4 linked regions of the Daphnia pulex genome follow. The protein of the gene in region 1 interacts with the protein of each later gene in a pairwise test. Links are inferred from orthologs where the notes say so. Each region holds a gene or a part of one and is shown in the gene's direction. Other genes may lie near its edges.

What was found.
Region 2: the proteins of disks large 1 tumor suppressor protein-like (region 1) and uncharacterized protein LOC124196913 interact in a two-hybrid assay, tested with the Drosophila melanogaster proteins (4 studies listed by BioGRID). The link is inferred for Daphnia pulex from reciprocal best matches to the Drosophila melanogaster genes dlg1 and gukh.
Region 3: the proteins of disks large 1 tumor suppressor protein-like (region 1) and potassium voltage-gated channel protein Shaker-like interact in binary tests that used the Drosophila melanogaster proteins (3 or more experiments, as listed by UniProt). The link is inferred for Daphnia pulex from reciprocal best matches to the Drosophila melanogaster genes dlg1 and Sh.
Region 4: the proteins of disks large 1 tumor suppressor protein-like (region 1) and vang-like protein 2 interact in a two-hybrid assay, tested with the Drosophila melanogaster proteins (3 studies listed by BioGRID). The link is inferred for Daphnia pulex from reciprocal best matches to the Drosophila melanogaster genes dlg1 and Vang.

Annotation. Positions count from the first base shown.
Region 1 is NC_060025.1:304,019-309,238, forward strand, and holds part of disks large 1 tumor suppressor protein-like, read left to right. Parts: intron 1-980; exon of another isoform or gene 981-2,082; coding exon of another isoform or gene 2,083-2,292; intron 2,293-2,951; coding exon 2,952-3,092; intron 3,093-4,202; exon of another isoform or gene 4,203-4,906; coding exon of another isoform or gene 4,907-4,924; intron 4,925-5,092; exon of another isoform or gene 5,093-5,220. UniProt on the Drosophila melanogaster protein: During embryonic development, some isoforms are essential for proper neuronal differentiation and organization. Required for cell polarity; maintenance of apicobasal polarity.
Region 2 is NC_060023.1:632,708-637,927, reverse strand, and holds the end of uncharacterized protein LOC124196913, read left to right. Parts: coding exon 1-77; intron 78-155; coding exon 156-2,286; intron 2,287-2,558; exon of another isoform or gene 2,559-2,843; intron 2,844-3,204; exon of another isoform or gene 3,205-3,210; coding exon 3,211-4,322; 3' UTR 4,323-4,594; downstream 4,595-5,220.
Region 3 is NC_060026.1:6,145,395-6,151,074, forward strand, and holds the start of potassium voltage-gated channel protein Shaker-like, read left to right. Parts: upstream 1-1,160; 5' UTR 1,161-1,788; coding exon 1,789-1,901; intron 1,902-5,680.
Region 4 is NC_060018.1:12,093,541-12,098,760, forward strand, and holds the end of vang-like protein 2, read left to right. Parts: intron 1-36; 5' UTR 37-73; coding exon 74-235; intron 236-315; coding exon 316-662; intron 663-942; coding exon 943-1,069; intron 1,070-1,389; coding exon 1,390-1,938; intron 1,939-2,242; coding exon 2,243-2,398; intron 2,399-2,470; coding exon 2,471-2,647; intron 2,648-2,789; coding exon 2,790-2,976; intron 2,977-3,103; coding exon 3,104-3,312; intron 3,313-3,634; coding exon 3,635-3,853; 3' UTR 3,854-4,704; downstream 4,705-5,220.

The DNA of each region.
Region 1 (5,220 bases):
CCCCTACTTGTAGTGGGCGAGGGTGGAGAAGGCGAGTGGCGTTGCGTCACGCACTTACCGGCTTTGAAGAGAGACAATCACGTTTTATCGTCGGCCAATGAAATGTTATTCGAGTTAAATGCACTACGCTGGTTGAAGCTCATTTGAAGGAAACACGTTTTTACGAGGCTGGATCGCTGGATAAGGGTACGAATCTCTTTGGGTTGGCCACCATCACTATATACTCTACGTTTCGTTAGTGCGTAGCCCAAGGGCGCCAACTCTCTGTACACTGGATACCGTTGGGCGGATGGGCGGACGAGAGTGTATTGTTGTTGTTGTTGTGGTTTTACCCCCCCAAACCGTGAGGTTGTTGCCATGCCAAGTAAATAAAAAAAAAACCCCTGGCAAACAAGCTTCTGGGTTTAATGGTTCAACAAACAGCGTGATAATACACTCATTTGTGACAATCACGCGGCTCTTGTGTTTGAGCTGCGTGGCGGAGGAGGAGGCCATCGATCGAGCGCCGGGGCGAGCGGCTACTTACTTACATCTCCAAATGGCATCTCTTAGACCATCTTATCTCTTCTTTTTTTACTATTCTTTCTCCACCCTTTTTTTTTTTTAGAAATGCGGATTTCTATTTTTTTTTCGCATCCGCCGAGGAACTGGGCGGTCCCGGAAACAGTTGGCTGTTCCCTGGCGCGCGCTTCTTTTGTACCAGATATATATACAGTGACTATGTTTCACGGAGAGAAGCTGTCACTCCCGATGGGGGCTGCTGCTCCGCCCGAGTTGTACGTTTTTACCACAGGGAAAGAAGAAGAAGAAGAAAAAAGTAGGCAAACTTTTTTTTCTTTTGTTGTTGTTGTTGTTGCAACAACAGTCGCCCAAAAGTCTAGAAGATGTTCTTCTTTTCTAAAGGCAACGTTGCGCGATTTAACTTGATGGCATTGAGAAAAAAAAAATCAATAGAGCACCGAGTACTATAAATACGTACGTAGCTGCTAGTGTACACGCTAGTAGTGACTTTTTTCCTATTTCTTCGACTTTTTAGACGCATTGATCAAATATTCGACAAGTCCGACGTTGGGGTGGGCGGGCCGATGAATAAAAGATGGACCCGAAGAAGATGGTTCGTACCGTTTGATTTATTTACAAAAAGCTGGGCGATTGGGATTAGCTGTAGAGTTCGTGCTGGATAGGCTAATTGGCCCCACCTGGATTGCCCAAGAAAGGATTTGTGAGTCTGTATCCGATCGATCTTTGAACACACACACTTTTACCTACGGTTGTGTTGGTTAGATTGGACGGAAATGAGTCACTTGTGTATTTGAAAAATAGAAAAAAACCGGAGCCAAAATGTTTGATGCGACGCCATCTGATGCCTTTTGCGTTTCCCAATGTGTATATACATCCACATTTACGTAAGCAGACGCCGAGAGAACTGGGAGAAAAGTCTCTACCCACAACACGCAAGCCAAAAAAAAACCCCGAAAATATAAATACATTGTGGAATGGGATGTGTATACGGTCGAGCGTGTCGTGTCACGATCCTCCGTGAACTTTTTTTTTTCCCCTTTTTTTTTATTTCTTCTTATTTTTCTTGGCCGTTCTAGTGGGCGGAAAAAGAAGAAGAAAAAAAGTCGCTCACGGAGAGCTGTGAGCTGGCCGCCATGACGACGGCCGCGGGAAACTTGACAATCAGCCGCCGACCCCTGTGTGCGAGTGAGTAGAGAGAGAAACCCGCGAGAGAGACTCGCCTGAGTAAAATTAGTCTCGCTTCAGTCGCAAACAATCACGGTCACGCTGGCGGCCAGCTCCGGCCAACGGACACACGTACCGGGCGCAAAAAAAAAAGTCGTGCGGGATTTTTTTTGTTTTCTTCTTTCTGTCAAGCGACGTTTAAAAATAAAATATTTTTCGCCCGCCCCGACAGTCTTGTGTGTGTGTTGCCCAGCAAACAGTCGGCCCCTGGTCTACGTGTAGACGGACACAAGTCGTTATCATCGTCGTGGCTGCTGTCGTGATGTTGTTGTTGACTCGGTGCGTTGATTAAAAAAAGGAAATTCGAAAGACATACCCACCCATCCAACACGCAAGATGATCGATTGGGTTTCCATCGTCCGACAATCGAATCGACGCTTTTCCAACTGCATGTATTTCGTGCCGCGATCACGACGCCATCGACAAAAGCGCGAACGAGTCCTAGCACATCCGGCAGCAGCAGCAGCAGCAGCAGCTCCTGTCTCGTTGGAGGCAGAAGACCCGGCCGATCGATGCGAGCACAAATGCAGCACCAGCTGTTTCAAAGTAAGAAGAAGACGTTCTCTCTTCTTTTGGCAGAAAGAAGATGGGCGATTGATTCTATATGTGTGTATAGAGAAAACGATTTATTGACCGATTTCCGAGAGAGAGAAATCTACTTAAGATTGCATAGATAAAGAACATGGTGAGGTACCAGCGTGAGCAGGTCTATTTCACAATTTCTTTTGAGAATTTTTTCTCAAACACAAAAGATCACACTGCCAATATATTTATAGTCGAGAGCAGACTCTTCTAGACTGCTCAGACTGCCAGTGTGTTGACTGTACTGTGTGTGCATGTCTCTCTCTGTGAGAGTGATCGATGTGACGGCCCGCCGGCCCGAATCGTGTTTATTGTATGTGTGTGTGTGTTTTGACTCTCCATACATCACATTGGGGGGGAGGGCGGGGAAATGACGCCATTTCTTATAATACGGTCGTTTAGGATTGTGTGTGATCGCATATCTTTTAATAGTGTGTGTGCGTACTCGAGTGTCAAAACTATAAGCTTTTTTGGTAAACGATCTATTTTGATTATTTTTGGGCGGGAAAGATACAAACACAAATTGATGGATCGTTTTGAGCAACTTTGGGTTTGGTAACTTACCTTTTCTGACGTATCGATTGGAAACTAATCAAATTTTATGTTTTTATTTTTCACGACAGAGCCCACGACATCACGGGACTAGGGGACGACAGGACAACGATCCTATGGTGTCGGTTGACATGGTGGACGGTCACGTCAACGAGTCGGTCATTTCGGCGACAGAGAGGATCGTGATCCAGCAACAGTCCAATAACCTCAAGGTAGTATCTATTCCATTTCTGACACCTTTCAATTTGCGTCTCGTATTGACCTTTTCCTTCTCACGAACGACGTCGTGTGTATTTTTATCAGCCGATCCTATTTCCCCCGCTCTGCTACTATTACCCACTATATTTATATAACCCACCCACCCACACGGATAGGATAGGAAGACAAAATGGCCGCCGGCTGTGTAGAGACTAGATTCTAACCCGGATGGGAAACTTTGGATATATCCTTGAGGAATCCCAGATCTCGTCTTGGGTGTCGTTACGCCTGAATCCACCACCGTCGTTTCGGCTCATTGAACACCTCCGGGAATGTGTAACGGGAGCGCACACACGCAAAAAGAATAAGAGGCAAATGACTTTTCGATTTCCCTCGGCTCTTCTTATCTCTTCGGGATAATATCTCCCACCCCCTCACCGTATATAGTATACTGTTTATCCATAAATGAAGACCCCCCCCCCCCCATCTTTATTAAGATCTTCTTATATAATGATGCGAGACACACATTCTGCAGTTTTATCCGCACGGCAGATCCGGATTTATTGATACTCATTTTTCATTGCCAGCAGAAAGTCATTAGGGGGGTTGTCCCGGTGGAATATATATACGCCAAGTCTATATTTCGTTGGACCGTTTAATAATACTTGGAATGCAGTTAAGCGCATAATATCAACAGGTCATCAAGGGGAAGGGGGGATTCGATCGACAGAATATCCTTCCGTCGACGCTGGAATCCAATTATTTCTCAAGTGTTTAGAGTGTCTGAACGTGTCAAAATGGAGGGGGATGAAAAGCACAAGATGTGGGTGTCGGGAGGAAATAAGGAGTTATTCGAACGAATTGGTTAACCGAGCGGAAACATCGCCGCCATTGTCCACGCATCGTTGAATTCACGTACAGTCAATATAACCCCTTGAAAAAAGCCTGGACGGAATTTTTCTGGTGGAGGATTTTATGTGGTCTTAGAAATCTCACACTGTCGTTGTTGGCTTTGCCAAGAGATGTCAGGAGCTTACTGGAATGTACCTGGAAGGCGAAGAATAAGCCAAGAGAAAAGGGAAACCTGTTTTCTTCTTTTTCAAAATCCAACGATCCTCCAGTTACTTTCTATTCATGTGAGACCCTTAATGCCCCGAGGGGGAAAACCTGGACATTTTTTTCCTCCTCCTCCTCCGCAGCATATTGGAAGTTTTTAGGCTTTTTCTTTAGACATTTCTTCCCCCCATTCTTGTTAGTGGCCATCAGTCCGAGTGAGAAGGCAGTGGCGATTGGATCATTTTTTCTTATTTGTTGGGGGTTCACAACTTGTTATAATAATAATATTTGATTATTTTGGTTTCTATGGAAAATGGTTCGAGTGTGCCAATGACAGTAGCAGTAGTTGGAAGGCTGTCAAAGTAGTATAGCGAGAGAGAAAATTCAGTTGTGTATACCGAACGCGTCGAGTTTGGCTTTTTCAGATCCGGCTAGTGACGTTGTGTGTGTTTCTTTTTTTTCATTTTTTGTTTCCCAATTTGTTGGGATCTTTTTTTTATTTATTTGTGACGAGCTTTTTGGGTTGTTGTACTGTGTGCTCCTGCCGGATGGTTTATATTTGCCACTGCTGCTGCTGGTCGGCGTGTGAGCTGTGTGTGTCTGGAGCTTATTTTACTGTGCACCGGTGCAAGTGATCAGTTGCAGGCGAGTTTTCGCAGCCGACGCTCGCGCCATTTTTTCCCCCCGTTTCTCCATCGAAACTCTTGATGCTTCCAAACGCCGGTTTTTGAATTCAATATAACACCTCGATATAAATTACCAGCCATCTAGGATGAAAACACGACGGAAGGTAAAATCTTCAATCAATCTACGAAATCAATCCCCCCGAATTAAGTCTTGCGTTTTTATTAAGAACCTTGGCTGTTTTCTATTTTGTTTTTAATTGTGTCTGCGCGCATCATCAAGACGAATTTAGCGATAGATTTGGCAATGCTGTGTTGACGTCACCTACCAATAGCAGACGAGTTCCATGTTCCACACCCATTCTTTTATATTTTCTAGTCTCCCCCCCGCCAAAAAAGAAAAAGAAAAAAAGAAAAACTCGCCCACGGTGTGTGTCTGTTGTGTAGTTTTTCGGTATCTATT
Region 2 (5,220 bases), on another chromosome or scaffold:
CCAGTTCCGTCTACAGTTGCGACGCCGAGGGCTATTACACCTCCTTCCACATCGACAGCGGCCTCAAAACTCTCAAGGTCGAAATCAATTAACTTTCTTTAATTTCATTTAAAAATAAAATCAATAAACTTATCTCAAAATGGTCAAACCAACAGGAGGGCCAGAGTGATGGAAGTTTACACAAGAACCGGACGTCGGTCAATTCCAAGGAGGCGAGCGGCGGCAGTGATCGCTCATCCGGAATGAGCTCGGCTTCCGGCAGCATTTCGGGCGGATTGGCTTCCGGCCAACCATTCCCGGCAGCTACACCTGAAAATGAATACGAATTGTTCGGCAAGGGCAGCACTTTGTCCAGCGCCACCACCAGTTCGGCAGGGACGGTCATCTTCCGGCCGGAAGGAGTCGGTAACAGCAACAACAACACAGTGGGGAGTCGGAAGAAGAGGAACAGCCAACCGCCCGAGCCACCGCCACGAAATGGAAGCTCCAGCAACCGGAATTCGGTGGATTCCGGAAAATTGCGGAAGCAAATTCCGGAAGAGAAGAAATCGCTGAGCCAATTGGTGACGGAAACGGAATCCAAGGAGATCGCCGACGCTCTCAAACAGCTGAGGAGCAACGAATCTCCCGGAAGCGAAACCGCTGGATCGCCGGAATCGGAATGCATGAGGGCCAATTTAACTCAAATCGGAAGGATTCCGGCCATGTGCGTCATCACTCCTTCCATCACTCCACTGCCAAGCGACGACGATGCCATGCTCAACGATCCTTCCGGCCGGAATTCCGGAATAAGTCTCGAATCGCACATCCAATCCGCGTTCCTCCAGCAAGTCGCCGCAACGGAAGTTCGTCCCAGTCCGGTGAGCCGGACTCGAGTAAACGTGGCCGATCTTCCGGCGGCCATTCCGGCATCCACCGAGTCGACGGCCATCGTTATCAAGGCGTCCGTCGTCAAGTGTCCGGTCGATCAGGAACTTGTGGCTCTCAACCAACTGCCGGCCGCCGATTCGGACAATCTGAACGCCCAGCCGTTCTCCTCCGCCGGAAGCAGTGAAAGTTCACGATCCAGCTCGTTGGAAAGGAAGAAACGTGGCGCCAGAGTGACGCTGGATTCCGACGGAAAAGTTGTCTACAGTTCGGATTCTCTAAAGAGACGGAAAGCTCAAGCCGGACACACTTCCACGTTCGTCGAGCCGGGCACCGGCCAGCAAAATGTGGAAAGGAAATTGGATCCAGGGACGTCGGCCTTCCGTCCCAATCCGATCGGCTCGACTGGATCAGCTGCTGGCAACGCGAACAAACCGCTCAGTCCACCGCCTTACAGGCCGGCCCCAAGTTTCAACGGCCCTCGAACTTCTTCTTCTTCTTCATCCTCTTCGACGATTCCGGCCGTCAGGACTCAGCCGGACGGTCAAAGTTCAACCAATGGAAATGGATCGGGAATTCCGGCGATTCTAGTGTCCCGGTCCGACAGCTACCGACTGGCCAACGTCGACGACCAAGTGGACAGCGGAGGCGATCCGGCCGGTGCCTTCCAGCGGAATCGATCCGACAGTTACCGCAAAGCCAATCAGACGCTCTCGGTGGCGCCGCCGCAAGCGGCTGGCAGTCACAACGGAAGACTCGCTCCACTTAGTCACACGTTAAGCGGATTCGCAGTCAACGGAGGAGGGACAACTCACCGATCCGTGACGGCCACCGCCGGAACGGGCCAGTTCATTTCGGGCCACTTGACGGACAGACCCAACAGCAACGGATGGTCGTCCAGACCTTCCCAGCCAGCGATGAATTACTCCATCAAAAGTCCGATGCTGGTCAAACAAATTTCCAATCCGGGTTTCAACGCTGCTGGGCAAGCTTCCGGCCCGGCTGCAGCAGCAGCCAATGGACGTCCTAGTAAGCAATTCAACCACCGGCAAATCTCTAGTCCGGCCATGATGATGATGACGTCCAGTCCGCTCCTGGTGAAACCCAACAACGGCGGAGGAGGAATTCACAATCCAAATGCGGCCGGAAGGCGGATTTACGGCGGTCCTCGGCTGTTGGTCAATCCGAAAATCCTGACGTCTCCGACTCACCAAAACAACAACAACAACAAAAGCGGAAGCGTCAGCAGTCTCAACTCGAGCGGCGGAAGCGGATTGGACATTTCCATGACCAGCCAACAACCAACTCATCACAAGAAATCCGCATTTGCCAGCGGATTCGGAAGTGTTCCACCCAGTCCCGTCGTCCGTCCACCCACCAACGCCCAGGATCGGCCCAGCTTCTTCAACAACACTCCAGGTAACCGCAGAAACAACAACACTGACATTTGGTGATCTGAAATTTTTTTAAAAATACTCATTTGGCGCTAAAAAGAAAATGATTTGAAATTAAATATCACCTTTTTTTTAGCTTGCTTGATTTAATTTCCCACAGTATTACCTCACCTTTTTCTTTAATCCCTTTTGATTGCGTGAATGTTTTTTTAATTTTCTTCTTCCTACGAATGCCATAAAAAAGAAAAAGTTAAAAATTTGTTTTTCTCGTATGTTTTTGTTTTTTAATTACCTTTTTTTTATCACCACCCCCGCATGACTGGAAAAATCTCACGTCGCATGAAACAAACGAAATTGTTTTTGTCGCTTTTTTTACTATTATTATTTAAGTATTTGCTTGAAATTTCTCTCACACTATTTTTCACGGCCTGGCTTTCTCCTTTTTATTTTATTTGCACTTTTTGTATTTTGTTTTGTGTGTGTGTGTGCGTGCTTCGTTTGTTTTCTTTAGAGTTGGATTTCTCTGGGCTTTTAATTCCATTAGAAAATGATTAATTCTTTTGGTCTGCTTTTTCTAATTTTCTGAATGAATGAAAACAATCGATAATTCATTAATTTTATGATTAATCAATTCATCGATGAGATCTATTATATTCTAAATTAATTTTTTTTTAATGGATGAAAAACAAAAAAAGTCCATGAAAAAACCAACTCGAACCAGGCCGGAATCTTCTTCCCATGTTTAATTTTTTTTTGAACGAAATTTTATTATTATTTTTTTTAAATCGAATTTTTTCAATTGGCTAATAAACGGCCTTACATTTTTAAAACAAAGAAATCGATTCTCATTGGTCAGGATATCCGGCCTGGTTTCCTCGTATCTTTTTTCGTTTGATTTTTAAAAGAAAGAAAAATGTGTTCAATGATTTTAAACCAAACTTACCACTAGATGGAACAGGAACTACTAGTTCGAGATTGAACGGAGTTTCATCCAGCAGCTCATCACCACTTCCGGGCTATCAATCTTTATCGCCTCCGCCGAGAATGTCGGCCTTGCCACTAGCCCAGTTGTCGTCCACATCGACCGAATTTCAACGCAAAGATTTCCGATACAATTCGCTTCCGGCTCGATTCAAAACGGTGGCCGATTATTACGCATCCATGACCGGCGGCGGCGGTTCTCCGTCTTCCGTAGAACCAAACTACAACCAGTGGCTGCCCAGTGCGGGAGATGACAAAAGAAACAGCAGCACGCTTCCGTTACCGTCGAAATTAGCGGCGGCCAACGCAGCCAGAACCGGAAGAGATAGTCCGGAAGAAGGTGGATTCCTGGAATTTTCACCCAAAAGATCAAACTCTTTCAACTCTGCTACTCCCAGTGGCGCCGGACGTGTCCAGCAACAAGGCAAATCGTCGCCAACACCTTCGTATTCCTCCTGTTCCCTGGATGGCTCCTTTTCCACGTCAAGTTTGAACGAATCCGTCGACACTCGCCCCGGCACTTGGCCGCTTCATCCAGGTGATGCGGGGGCGTCACCTTCACCACAGCAGCCCAAAATCCATTCAATCGGACTGGTCAAACGGACGACCATTTCCGATTTCAAACGCAAATTGCTCCAGCAACTCCATCATCCGGCGTCCAATAAAAAGATCTCGGCCGTTGAGCAGCTCAAAGCGACTCAACCTCCGCCGGCCGGAATCGGCAAGGGGCCCGCGTCGCCAGACGTCAGTCCAGTGACCAAACATCCAGCACTGGAGAATTTGATTCGTCGCAGTGCTCGAGTCAGTTACATCGCCAGTCGGCTCAGTCAGCAGCAGCAGCAACGCAACAATCGATTCCATCCGCACTACAGTCCACGAACGGACGTCCTGTCTTCCACCATCGCAGAGGGGAGGAGCGAGGAAGAACTGGCAGCTGCTGACGACGATGCAGTCACCATTTCTTCAGTGTCCAGCAATGGAGCTAGTGTCCGTAGACATTTGTCTTTTCAAAACGGTTCACGACGTGGGTCGTCCACTCCATCTAGTGGCAGTTCGACACCCATTGAAACATCTCTCTAGTTTTCTTAGTGAGAGAAGAGAAAAAGTTGAGAAAATGCATTACATCTATATCTGTAACGAATCCTGCAAGTATACCAGTCATCACCTTTTCTTTAAAAAGCTATAATTACCTTCAATTGTCACGAGTTGTTTGTGCCTTTAGAACTGCATTTGACTTCTATTATTATATTTTCTGTCGATTGTGTGTTGGGATTTATCGAAAACCCTACAGTGCCTGTAAAAAGAAATTATTGATACATTTAGCAACATAATAAACTGTGAGAAACATTTTTTAAAAATTAAGACTTTGACGTTTTAGCCAAGTACCGATGAAGTTAGACATAAATGCATAACACTTTCTAAAATTAACATCACAAGAGTTTGGGAGGGATCTAATAGTCTACCGATTTACTGATTCGAATGGCTGATAAAACTAAAGTGGCTAAGCCAAGAGATCAGCAGCGTGGGCTAGAGGCTCAAGCTCAACCGCTCAAGGTCTTCTTCACTGAATTGAATTATATCGAAAAACGAAATTAAGATCAACTGATATAATTTTATAAAAAGGGGTTCAGGTAATTCTTATCTATAACAAATCATCTTGCATGAGGTTTTCAGCGTCTACTAATCATGAAACATTTTGTTTTCCGAACGAATATTGTGATTTGCGTGACAAACAGAAGCAGCAATTCTCTCTAGCGATTGGCGCCAAACGCTGACTTCCTATTTATGGTGGTCGGTGTGTTGGGAATATAATGACTCCCAACAGTGATCGACACTTTACTATTGTTAATTATGTGTAATTTGTAGGGACCTCAACAGAGGGCCCCAATTTTACCCACTCTTCCCACTCAATCTATTGTTCCCTAACCTACTCAACCCTAAACTAGCTATCGAAATCCCAAAATGATGTATATAGATC
Region 3 (5,680 bases), on another chromosome or scaffold:
AATGGTAAGAACACCAGACAATCACTTTGCATTAAATGATGACATGCAGTCTTTCAAGCATTCCACCACATATATGTAAATATTAAATGTTGCTTGTACTTTATCAAATTAAGAAAAAAATTATTTTCACAATTAAATTGAGTAAAACCTATAATTGGAATTAGTTAACCGACATATCGTAAATTCAGAATGAATCTGTGATGTTCATGCATGCCTTATTTGATAGATAGAATTATGATGTAGCCTAAAACTTGATAGCAGTTTGGTGGGAATATTCAAAAATTTGAGCTGCATTCTGATTCAACACATTAAACCCCCTAACGGTGATTTTTTTTTCTATTTCTACAATATAAATGGAGCAGAGTCTGCTTAGGAGGCAACAGACAACTATCTAGGTTGCATCATGGGTTGCATATATTCCGAAAACCAAACGTCCTTTGACATTGACAAACCTATCCAACTCTCGGTGCAGCCAAGTCGTGCATATCACTGTTTTTTTTTTCTATTTTACAGCTTGATAGTTGATACGATACAAGAGAGGAAGCAAAAAGAAGTGAATGCCAAAAATATGCACAGGTCACAGATTCTCACCATTGGCATCGTCATTGCCCTGTAGTCTGCAGGAATTCTCCTTCCGGGGGCTACTCTAAATTGTAATAACTGTCTGCTGATTTCCTCATACAAATTCGATTACCTAATTTACTACTAAGAATTCATTAAAAAGTTTATTTATTGTATTCAATTTTGAATTTGCTCAGTTTTTATGTAGAACTACTCACTACCCCTGGATGATTAGCCAGGGAGTCAGGGACTGCTGTCAGAACCACTGTACCGTTATTTTATTGTTTTATTTTTTTCACTTCCTTAGACTTTGAGTATACATCGTGCAATGCCCTTATATCAGTTAAGGATAACTTGTAGAAATATAATTTCCTTTGTTAATACGATTCTTCCCAGTTCCTACCTACGCATCTAACAATCGAAAATTTCTGTTTGGATGGCGCAGAAGATGCCTCTAGAACTAGGAGAAAAAGCTACAGTTTCTTATGAAGATGGCGTTTATGAATAGCTCGCTAGGGGGTGAGGGTGGGGGCGGGGTGGGGTCGGGATCGTCCACCAGAGAAAAAAAAAACAATTGCGGGATTTTTATTAAAAGTCAGATTTTTTCGATAAGTTGGAGAAAAAATTTCGTTATCGTTGTTGCAAAAGTTGCTATAGAATATAGATTTATCGATATCGATGTTTATTTCCTCCAATCGAAAAAATACCACCAAATGACTTACAAAAAAATAGAAATAAAACATACTTCTTTGTTTTTTTCTTATCTAGTATCTAGCTCTATATAGACTCCGCCATACCTTAGAGCCATTCCAACTCGTGCAGCTGATTAAAGAGATTTGAAAATCGTTGAACAAGAAGAAACGAAAAGGGTTTCGTTAGTCGGTTGTTGGCAGCTGTAGACGGGAGAAGTGTTTTCATTTCCTACCCGGTGCGTTAGCAATAGACTTGTGGACTTTCTATTGTTAGATTTTTTTTTTCAAATTGCTTCATGACATACCGATTTTTCACGAATCAAATTTGTTACCTTAATTTCGTCACCATTGATTTGTTTAAATCTTTTTCTTCGATTCAATGGTCTACAATGGTGTGGTGTTTCATTGTGCGGTTAGTTTTCAATGCCGAATAGGCGTGAGTGTTATGGACTTCGATCAACCTTTCGCCTTATTAAAAGGCGCAAAGACGTGTTGAAATATTAAACAGATCAATCTACAGGTCATTCTCATCATCATGTGGCAAAGTGGCGGTATGGGCGGAAGCGCCCAAGGTGCCAAAGTTCCAACGTCGGAAAATCCAATAACAAAGATGTTAGCAGGCCTAATATGTCGACGGGCGAGTGAAAGGTAAAAGGTTTCACTTAATCATTTTAAATTTGCGTTCCTGTTTAAATGATCAAATGAAGATGTTAACCTACTCATAGCTTAGTTAGGAAACTATAAAATTTTTTAACACTATAGCTGTATAATACAAAGTGATATGTGTGATAAGTCAATTAAATTATGTCTGCAATCAGAAATTTACCATATATTTCTCCTCTCCTTCTGACAACAACACGACAAACACAAGGAAAATGAAAAATCAATAACGTCCATAGTGTTTCATAAATGATACTTATGGTTTAATAAGTAACCCGTAGATAACAGTTCAACTGCATTCTTGAAAAAAGTGCAAAACAATGCCTAATGAAAACAAAACAAAGTTGTGACCTGAAGAGTGCAAATAAACTATTGAATCATTGAGTTCCTTAATCTGTTCCAGGGACAAAAAGTATTGCTTTAATCATAGGTTATATCTAGATTCAGTCATTCGTTTCTGGGTGACTTTTTGGTAGACTTCCCGCCTGTCCCATGTGTGTGCGTTTAAACGCGTGGTTATGTCCTCGGTTCTTCTCGCCTCCACCTTCCAGTGCAACTGCTAATTTTAGGACTGTCTCTGAAATACTCGTATCCTTTTTTTGGCTTGCGAACAGATTCAGAGGTACGGTACGAAAACTACAAGGTCCCGAAAAAAGATCGAGCACGCACGCAGACAAGAAATAAAAAAAGAGAGAACCAGATAGCAAGGTTTCAACAGGAAAAACAATCACGCTCATTTTTCCTTTTCTATTCGTACATACAGCCTTTACTCTTGTCACTTTTAAATGAGTTAGATTAGCTAGGCATAGAGAGAATTTCGTGTATTAAGAACCCAAGAATTCAGTGTATAAACCTCACCATAGTTAAAATCTTTCCATCATTTGGATACCGTTGTTTCCATTAATAGACGCTATGCTTAAAGGGAAACATTGATTGCGTTTCTCTACTCTACACTGTATAGCCTATTTATATCACCATATTAACAAAGGTCGGGCAAGTGCAGTATGCGTCTCATAAATAAAATCGAAGGAATTTTATATTTGCTTCGGCAATATAGACGAAACAAATCTGATATGACTGACAACCGCATCATTTAATATTATGTAAAACACAACCGTAGCTGGATTATTTTGCTAGAATTCCTAACATGGGGCACTCTTTCTGTTACTATGTTTTGCAAGGCTGCCAGCTTTAAGTCTATGTTCAGTCAGATGTTGGTTGTCCTGACTACAATCTATACATCCGACTTTTTCCAATTTTGTAACTTGAACCGTGCAGCGAAAGAATTTTTATGCAAAAATACAACTCTGCGTTTTCATTCAAGATTTTTTTCAGCTTCAAAATTAGCCCACTGTTGAGGCTTGGCTGTTGACTACGGTTGACTACCTGAAAACTTATTTCTACTCTGATATACAGCCTTATCTACAGTAGCGTTATTCCCTTAAAGAATCACATCGATCAAAAACTGTCTTCAGCTTCTTCATGGAATTCAAACGAATAAAAAAGGAAGAAAAACAAAATAATTATAAATCGGGTTATCGACTTGTTATTTGGGTGTACGAATAAAAAATAAAAAATAAATGTATTTTAAATAATTTTTTTTATTTTTTATTTTTGGACTAAAATATAGGGGTTTAAAATGTTTTTTAGTTGTCCGCGGTAGGGTTTAAGAAGTAATCCTTATTTTTTCATTAATGTTGCTGGTCAGCACTCGATTGCCAACAAGATTGATAATAAACAAATCAATTGGGACAACACTTAGTTTTTCTTTTACAAATTCCAAAAATTCTTGGAAAATTTTGTGGAAAATCTTGAAAAAACCCAAAAAGCTAAATTTTTGAATTGAATTTTCGTTTTTTCTTAAATATTTTTCCCATTTTTATTTTTAAATTTTCCGCATTTTTTTTTTTTTTTTTTAACTAAAAATATGGGGGGTGTACGAATATTTTTCGAGTTGACAACTTCCCGTTATAAATATTTTATATCGAACCTATATTGACAAAAAAAAGGGACATCGGAAAACAAGATGCTAGAACAATTATATAGTGTGTGCTGGCTTTTTGTTTTTTAATTCAATATTACAGTATAAAGTAGAAAAATGGAAAAAAAATCAAATCGGATGAAATAAACAGCAAAAAATGAGACAGAAATAAGAAAGAGGAAGAAATATAAATGGATTAATTAATTTTTAGAAAAATCGCTATTCTTTGTTCTGGTAGGTGTTTAATATGCAACGCATTTGTGAGAAAGGGAAGAATTCAGAATTACCGAAAGGAAACTACTAAAGAAAAATGAAAGCATTAAAATTTTAACAGATGATAATACAAATATTTTCAGAATATTTGTAGTTGATAATAAGGTGCTAAGTGGTTTAGAATGATCACATTCAGTGATTAATATTGTCCCTCTTACAAGATTCCCACACCATTCCACGTCAATTGGCGAGGAAAGGTTTGCTTCACAAGATGGTCACGTAAAGCCATTAATGCTTTCGCTTTTTTCTGAAATGTAACGTTTAGATAAACGCGACACGCTACACGCTGGATACTTCCAAACGACATTTTTTTTTTAAATTTAAGTTTTTAGCCGAAACGTTAACTAGATAATTAAGTAACAGGACGACGTTATTAATTTAAAACTTACATATTTGGATTGAAAAAATGAAATTATATCAGGTATTTAAATGACATTTTAATTATTTTTTTATTTTTATTTTCATACATACGGACACTTACAAAGGACACTTAGACCGAACTAGTTTGTATTTAATAACAGAGTTATTAACGGGTACACGCTTACCAAGAGGGGGATCGAGCAGTTCTACACGTCACTTTGGTACACACCAAATACACAGTCTGACAAGGAAACTGCGGGTTTATATATTCCAAGTCGGCCTAGCCTTCCGAGAAGAATTCCCGAAAGCTAGGCCGGGCCGCATATAAGGATTGCTGGGGACGACAGGTTGGCAGCAATATTGGGACGACTTTAGTGATGGGGACGAGATGCTATAGTAGCACGGAGCTCGGTTTGTATAGCGCCCCGTTACATTTAGGGAAATAAGGGAGACGAGAGCTGATCTATAGAAGGGGAAAGTGTAGGGTTCTAGTGCTATAAGATGGAACGGAGAGAATGGCTATCAGAGAGAAAGATAGGGACTCCCGCAGACATAAGGGCTACTGGTACATGCGTTTCAGTACAGCCCGAATACGCGCATTACAGTACATAGATTATGGTATGGAATGGTTCAACACAATTATCGGGGTATTTTTTTAAAGTGCCATGTAGGGGAGGGTGGGGGTTATTTGGACCAATTTTGGTTTTTCTCGTGTAGGGCCTTTTCTAATCATCTGATTTGTAAAATACAGGTTTTATTGTACTTGTCTCACTTTTTTCTATCTCCAGTATTTTTTATTTTATTTTAGAGTTGTTAGTTTACCCGCTACCGATTTTAAAAGTTGCGAAAAAAAAGTGGGCGTGGAAATTCGGGGTTTTTATGGAACAGGGTGAAACACTCTAAATTTAGCACTAAAATATTGTTATAAATTAATTTAAAAATATCATTCTATTATAATATTTGCCACCTAGTATTTGTTTTTCGCTATGTTTTTAGGTTATTGCTAAATTTAAAAAATAAATTGTTTAAAATTTATTATTTTCTCAGGGTTGCCACTGAGCTAAGCTCCGCTCATTACAGACTCCCTTTTAGTCCCAATTTACCCCACAGTTTCGTCCCAAATATCCTCCAAAAAACGCTTTTGGGAAAGCTT
Region 4 (5,220 bases), on another chromosome or scaffold:
TTTAAATTGATTTTTGATTTTTTTTCAATTTTCCAGCCGAGCGGAAAATTTTCCCAATTTCTAGCTGGAACGAATGTACGACAACATGACAACTTACATGCTCTCGGATTCGCCGGAATCCGGATCGGGATCCAATCACCAAATCGGCGGAGGCAATTCGAGTTCCAACGCTCCGTCGCTGATCGGCTCGCCGAGATCGACGCCCGTCTTCGGCAACAACGGCCACGCCCTCAAGGTCCGTTATTGACAATGGCCCGTCTCTGCTGGACGGGAAAATATTTTTCAAACCAAAAATTATAAATTTTGTTTGAACAGACAAACGGCGGTTTGATGATGAACGGATCATCGTCCGGCGCTAAGGAGATGGGCGGCCATCAGATGTGGAATAACGTCGGCCATCCGCAGCAGCAGCAGATGCAGTCGCCCGTCGCCCAGCCACCGCTGCCACCGCCGCACCATCACCGCAACAACGTCATTGTGGACGACCGCGAGGAGAACCAATCGCTGCGCTCCGATCACTCCAATTCCATGGCCGGCGGCCTGTCGTCTTCCAATCGGGCCCACTCCAGATCCTCACGCCACCAGCACCAGCACAGCAACCGGCCGCTGGCCTCGACCCAGTCCGGCAAGAGCACCAGTTCCGGCCACCACCGATCGCACAGGTCCGTTTCTTTTATAACTAAAATCTGACTCAAATAAAAACAAGACGGGCCAGGTGTTCTGGCGTGGCCCGTCTTGAGCCTTAAAAGGATTGAACGAAAAAGACGGACCAGCCGTTGTTAAATTTGTTTTGTTCCTTGCCTTTCATGGAGCTGCAACGTTTATCCTATCCTTAATGCTGTTGATATCAAAGTAAATGAACCTGCAGTCCTGCAGTCGATGGCGTCATAATTTCAAATCTAAAAATGTTTTTTGTTTGTGGTTGTTGTTTGGCTTTGACAGGAGCGCAAGGGCGGGACAACACCGGGATCACCCGATTTCATCGTCGCCCATGCAAACGTCGGCCGTCCTCGGCGACCGCAGCAACAACCAGCACCAAGAAGTCATCGAAGTCCAGATCCTACCTCAGGTAAAAAAAAACTTTTTGTTGTTTTATTATTCAAATTTTGGAATATTTTCAATGAGATTCAAATATTCCCGCGCTATTTTTGTTTGTGGAATATAAACGGCGCCGTTGATCGATTCCCCCTGCATAGAAAAGTCTTTCGTGTAAACAGAAATATTTAGATATGTATAGAATCCGTCCAACCAAAAAGCCGCGCCGGACCTTGTAAATCGGCGTCCGTCCGCACACACAAAAGAAAAAGAAAAAATGGAAATGAATTTTTTTGATTCAAATGAATTTGATGTTGCGCAATTGATTGAATGGGCTGGTGATTCACACAACAGGATGACGGATGGGGCGACAACGCCACGGCTCTGACGGGCAACACGTCCGTGGCCTCCGGATCGATGGATGACGTGTCGAGGCTGGGCGGCGGAGACGGCGGACGCGGTGGCGGAGGCGACGGAGGGCCTAACGATCCGGCCTGGTCGTCCAACGCCATGGGCCAGTTTCAAAGCCAAGGCGGCCACCTTGGCTGGAATTTTAAATGCCAGCGCTACCTGGGCTCCATCACGGCCGCCGTCTTGGCCGTCCTGGCCGTCATGACGCCCGTGGCCATGGTCCTCCTGCCGCGGATGCAGATCGTTCCACTCCGCTCTGAGCAGCTGCGCTGCCCGGCCGAGTGCGAGGGACTGCTCATCACCCTGACCGTCAAGCTGGTCCTGCTGGTCCTGGGCAGCTGGGCCGTTTTCTGGCGGCCCACCAGGGCCACCATGCCGCGCATCTTCTTCCTCAGGACCCTGGTCCTCCTCCTGGTCTTCGTCACCACTTTCGCCTATTGCCTTTTCTACGGTGTTCGGGTGGTCGAGCAACAGGATCAGCTGGACTACAAGGTAAATTACATATCCATTTCAATTTCATTTGTTATTTATTTTTGGGTTCCAGGCCGGTCCAGGGCCGGCATGTCGTGCAACAGCGGGCGGTGTAATAGTTTTCTTGGTTGGTTGGTTGGTTTATTCTGTGGGTGGTGAGTGAGTTCAAATCACAGCTTGAACTTATCTTTTTTTTTCACTCGGACGGAATAAACAAATATGGCGGATGCATTCCGTGTCTGCCCGCCGTTTTATTTCATCTCTCGACGAATTTATTACAACATTTTTGTGTTTTTTTGTTTTATTTATTTTTGGTTTTATCCAGGCGATTGTGACGTTCGCTTTGTCGCTGGTCGACGCTCTTTTGTTTGTCCACTATGCTGCCGTTTTGCTCCTGGAGATCCGCCAAATGCCGCCCAGGTATTACCTACACGTCATCCGCAGTCCCGATGGCATTTCCAGGGGCTACCCGATCGGAGCCGTAAGCAAATTTTGTTGTTTTTCTTATTTTATTTCGATCGTTTAGATTTGTTTTTTTCTTCTTGGCCATCAGATATCGATCCAGCGGGCCGCCGTCTGGTTGCTGGACAAGTACTACACGGAATTTCCGATTTACAACCCGTTCCTGGAGCGGCTGCCGCCCAGGAGGAGCCGCTCAAAGTTGGCCCACTCGTCCTCGTTCAAATTCTACGACCTGGACGCCCAGAACAATCACGGCTCCCTCAATCCGGTAAGTCCACCCGACGAAATTTCATTTCAACTTTTTTTCTTATTTTAAACTAAAAATAATTAAAACTATACTTAAAATTAATTGAATTAAACTTAAAATTAAAATTTGAATTTTTTTTGTTGGGTGGCGGGAAATGTTCCAGGGTAATGCCCGTGGCGTTTTGTCGACGACCAGCTCATCGACGACGGCTCGTCGCAACAATTCCAGCCACAACGAGAGATTTTACGAAGAGCACGAATACGAACGACGTTTGAAAAAGAGGCGCGCCCGTTTGGTCACGTCCGCCGAAGAGGCTTTCACCCACATCCGACGACTTCAAGCGGAACCAGGTACATGTCAACAATTATACACAACCAAATGTCTTTTTTCCCTCCTTATCCTTGCGGCAATATTCAACACCAATAAATATTAAAATTCTTTTATTTAAAAAATGTTTTTTTGGGGGTGGAATAAAAGGACCGGCCGTTCCGATGGATCCTTACGAAGCGGCCCAGGCGATTTTCCCGTCGATGGCCCGCCCGTTGCAAAAGTACCTGAGGATCACGCGCCAGCAGCCGCGCCACACGGTCGAGTCCATCCTCCAGCACCTGGCCATCTGCCTCAGTCACGACCTCTCCGCCCGCGCCTTTGTCGAAAAGTTCCTGGCTGCCTCGCCCGTCATGCAGGTATAACTCGTCCGCATTTCTTTTTTTATTTTATTTTATTTAAAAAAAAAAAGCGGACCCCATTTTTCATTCGGAATTCCCGACGTCCGTGAAGGGCCACTTTGGTTCATCGTAAATTTCCCCTCAATCTCTTTTCAAATTTCCCGCTTTAAAAATTTTCCAACAAAATTCCAACATTTGATTGGCAGTCAATTTATTTATGGCCAATAGCTTTTCGAATTTGGCGCGGAAAAATGTCCACAAAATATTTGATCGACTTTGAATTTCCCGCTGAAAATAAAAATTTAAAATGTTTGAATTTAATTTTTGGCGGTTTAAATAGAACGACAAGGAAAAGTGTCCGATTCAGACGTGGTCGCTGGTGTGCGACGTCCTCCTGTCGCGTGGCATCGAGGACGGGACCGTGTTCCAGCTGAGGCAGGGCGACGTCTCGCTCCTTTGCCGCATCTCCAACTTGCCGCACTTCAACATCACCGAGGAGATCATCGAACCCAAATCCAACAAGTTTGTCCTGCGGCTCAGTTCCGAAACTTCCGTCTGATGAAATATTCAAGTGATGGACGGACGGACTCGACGGAATAAATTTTTGTAAAAAAATAATTCAGTTCATTTGACCAATTAAATTTGTTTTGTTTTTTTCGTTTTCTTTTCAAAAAAATTTATTTTCCCGCGCTGGATAATAATTTTTGAAACAAGAAACTAGTCGTCTTGCGTAAAATTCGTGTCCTTTTCTTGCGTGCAACCCCCCCAATTTTTTTATTTCCGGTTTGATCGTTGATAATATTCAGAAAAAAAATACTCGCAAACATATCGAAAGATAAGAAGAATTAATGGCCTCCGGACTCGATAATAATTAATAAAATTGTTTCGTCCATTTTTGGCTAATAATTATAGACGCGCTGATTAATAATATGATTGGCTCAACAATATGTTTTTTGGGGTTTTTTTTTTCCTGTGTGTGTGTACATAATCATGTTATAGTCGAGGGCAAATAATGATAATAATAATAATAATAATAATAAAAATAAGGGAACCTCATTCTTCGCACCCGTAACAATTTCATTTCCCGACACCCACGCAAAAATTGGCCATTGTTCACGCGGGCTCTGATTTATTTTGTTTGATTTAAAAAAAGAAATTCTTTTTTTGTTTTGTTTTTGGTCTAATAACAATCGCTGATGTCGACTTTCTCCCTTTGTTATTTGGTTATTTCTCTCGCCTATTCTTTTCTCGACGATGTGTTGTATACGTGTGTAATAATTGACACCCCCATTTCTGTTGGCAACAACGAAGTTATTAGACACAAGTACACACAACACACGGTGGAATGTAGGTGCCATGCGTCATCATCCCCCTCCATTTGAAAAATAAAATACAAAAAAAAATGATTATTAAAAAAGTACATTGTGTTGTGTATACAAAACAAAACTCTTTTAATAAAATGTTCGTGTGGTGTGTTGCCATTTTTTGAAAAAAATCTACAATTTTAAAAAATTTAAAATTTTCTCTTTTTTTATAATTTTCACGCGGGAGTTTTTCACGTTGAGTAATTGGCAGACATTTATTTATTTGTTTTGGCTGAAACTCGTTCATTCATGTCCTGCGGGACCCGTGTGGCGATGATGTAAACCATTTAACAAATCATCACCGCCCATCATCAACATTTTTTTAACCTTTTGATGAGAAAAATGTTTTCCATCAAAATTTTGTTTATTTAAAAAAAAAAAGAATTAAAAAAATAAATGACCGTGATTTAAGCGCGCCACAAAGTTTTGAAAAAGAATTATTACGTCATCGCTTCTCTTTTCATTTGGGTTCGAGGACGTTCACTTCCTTCATTTCTGCACCCACTCACTTAACAAAAAAGACGTGAAAGGGCCGGCTGCCAGGGGCTGTCGTCGTCTTCTT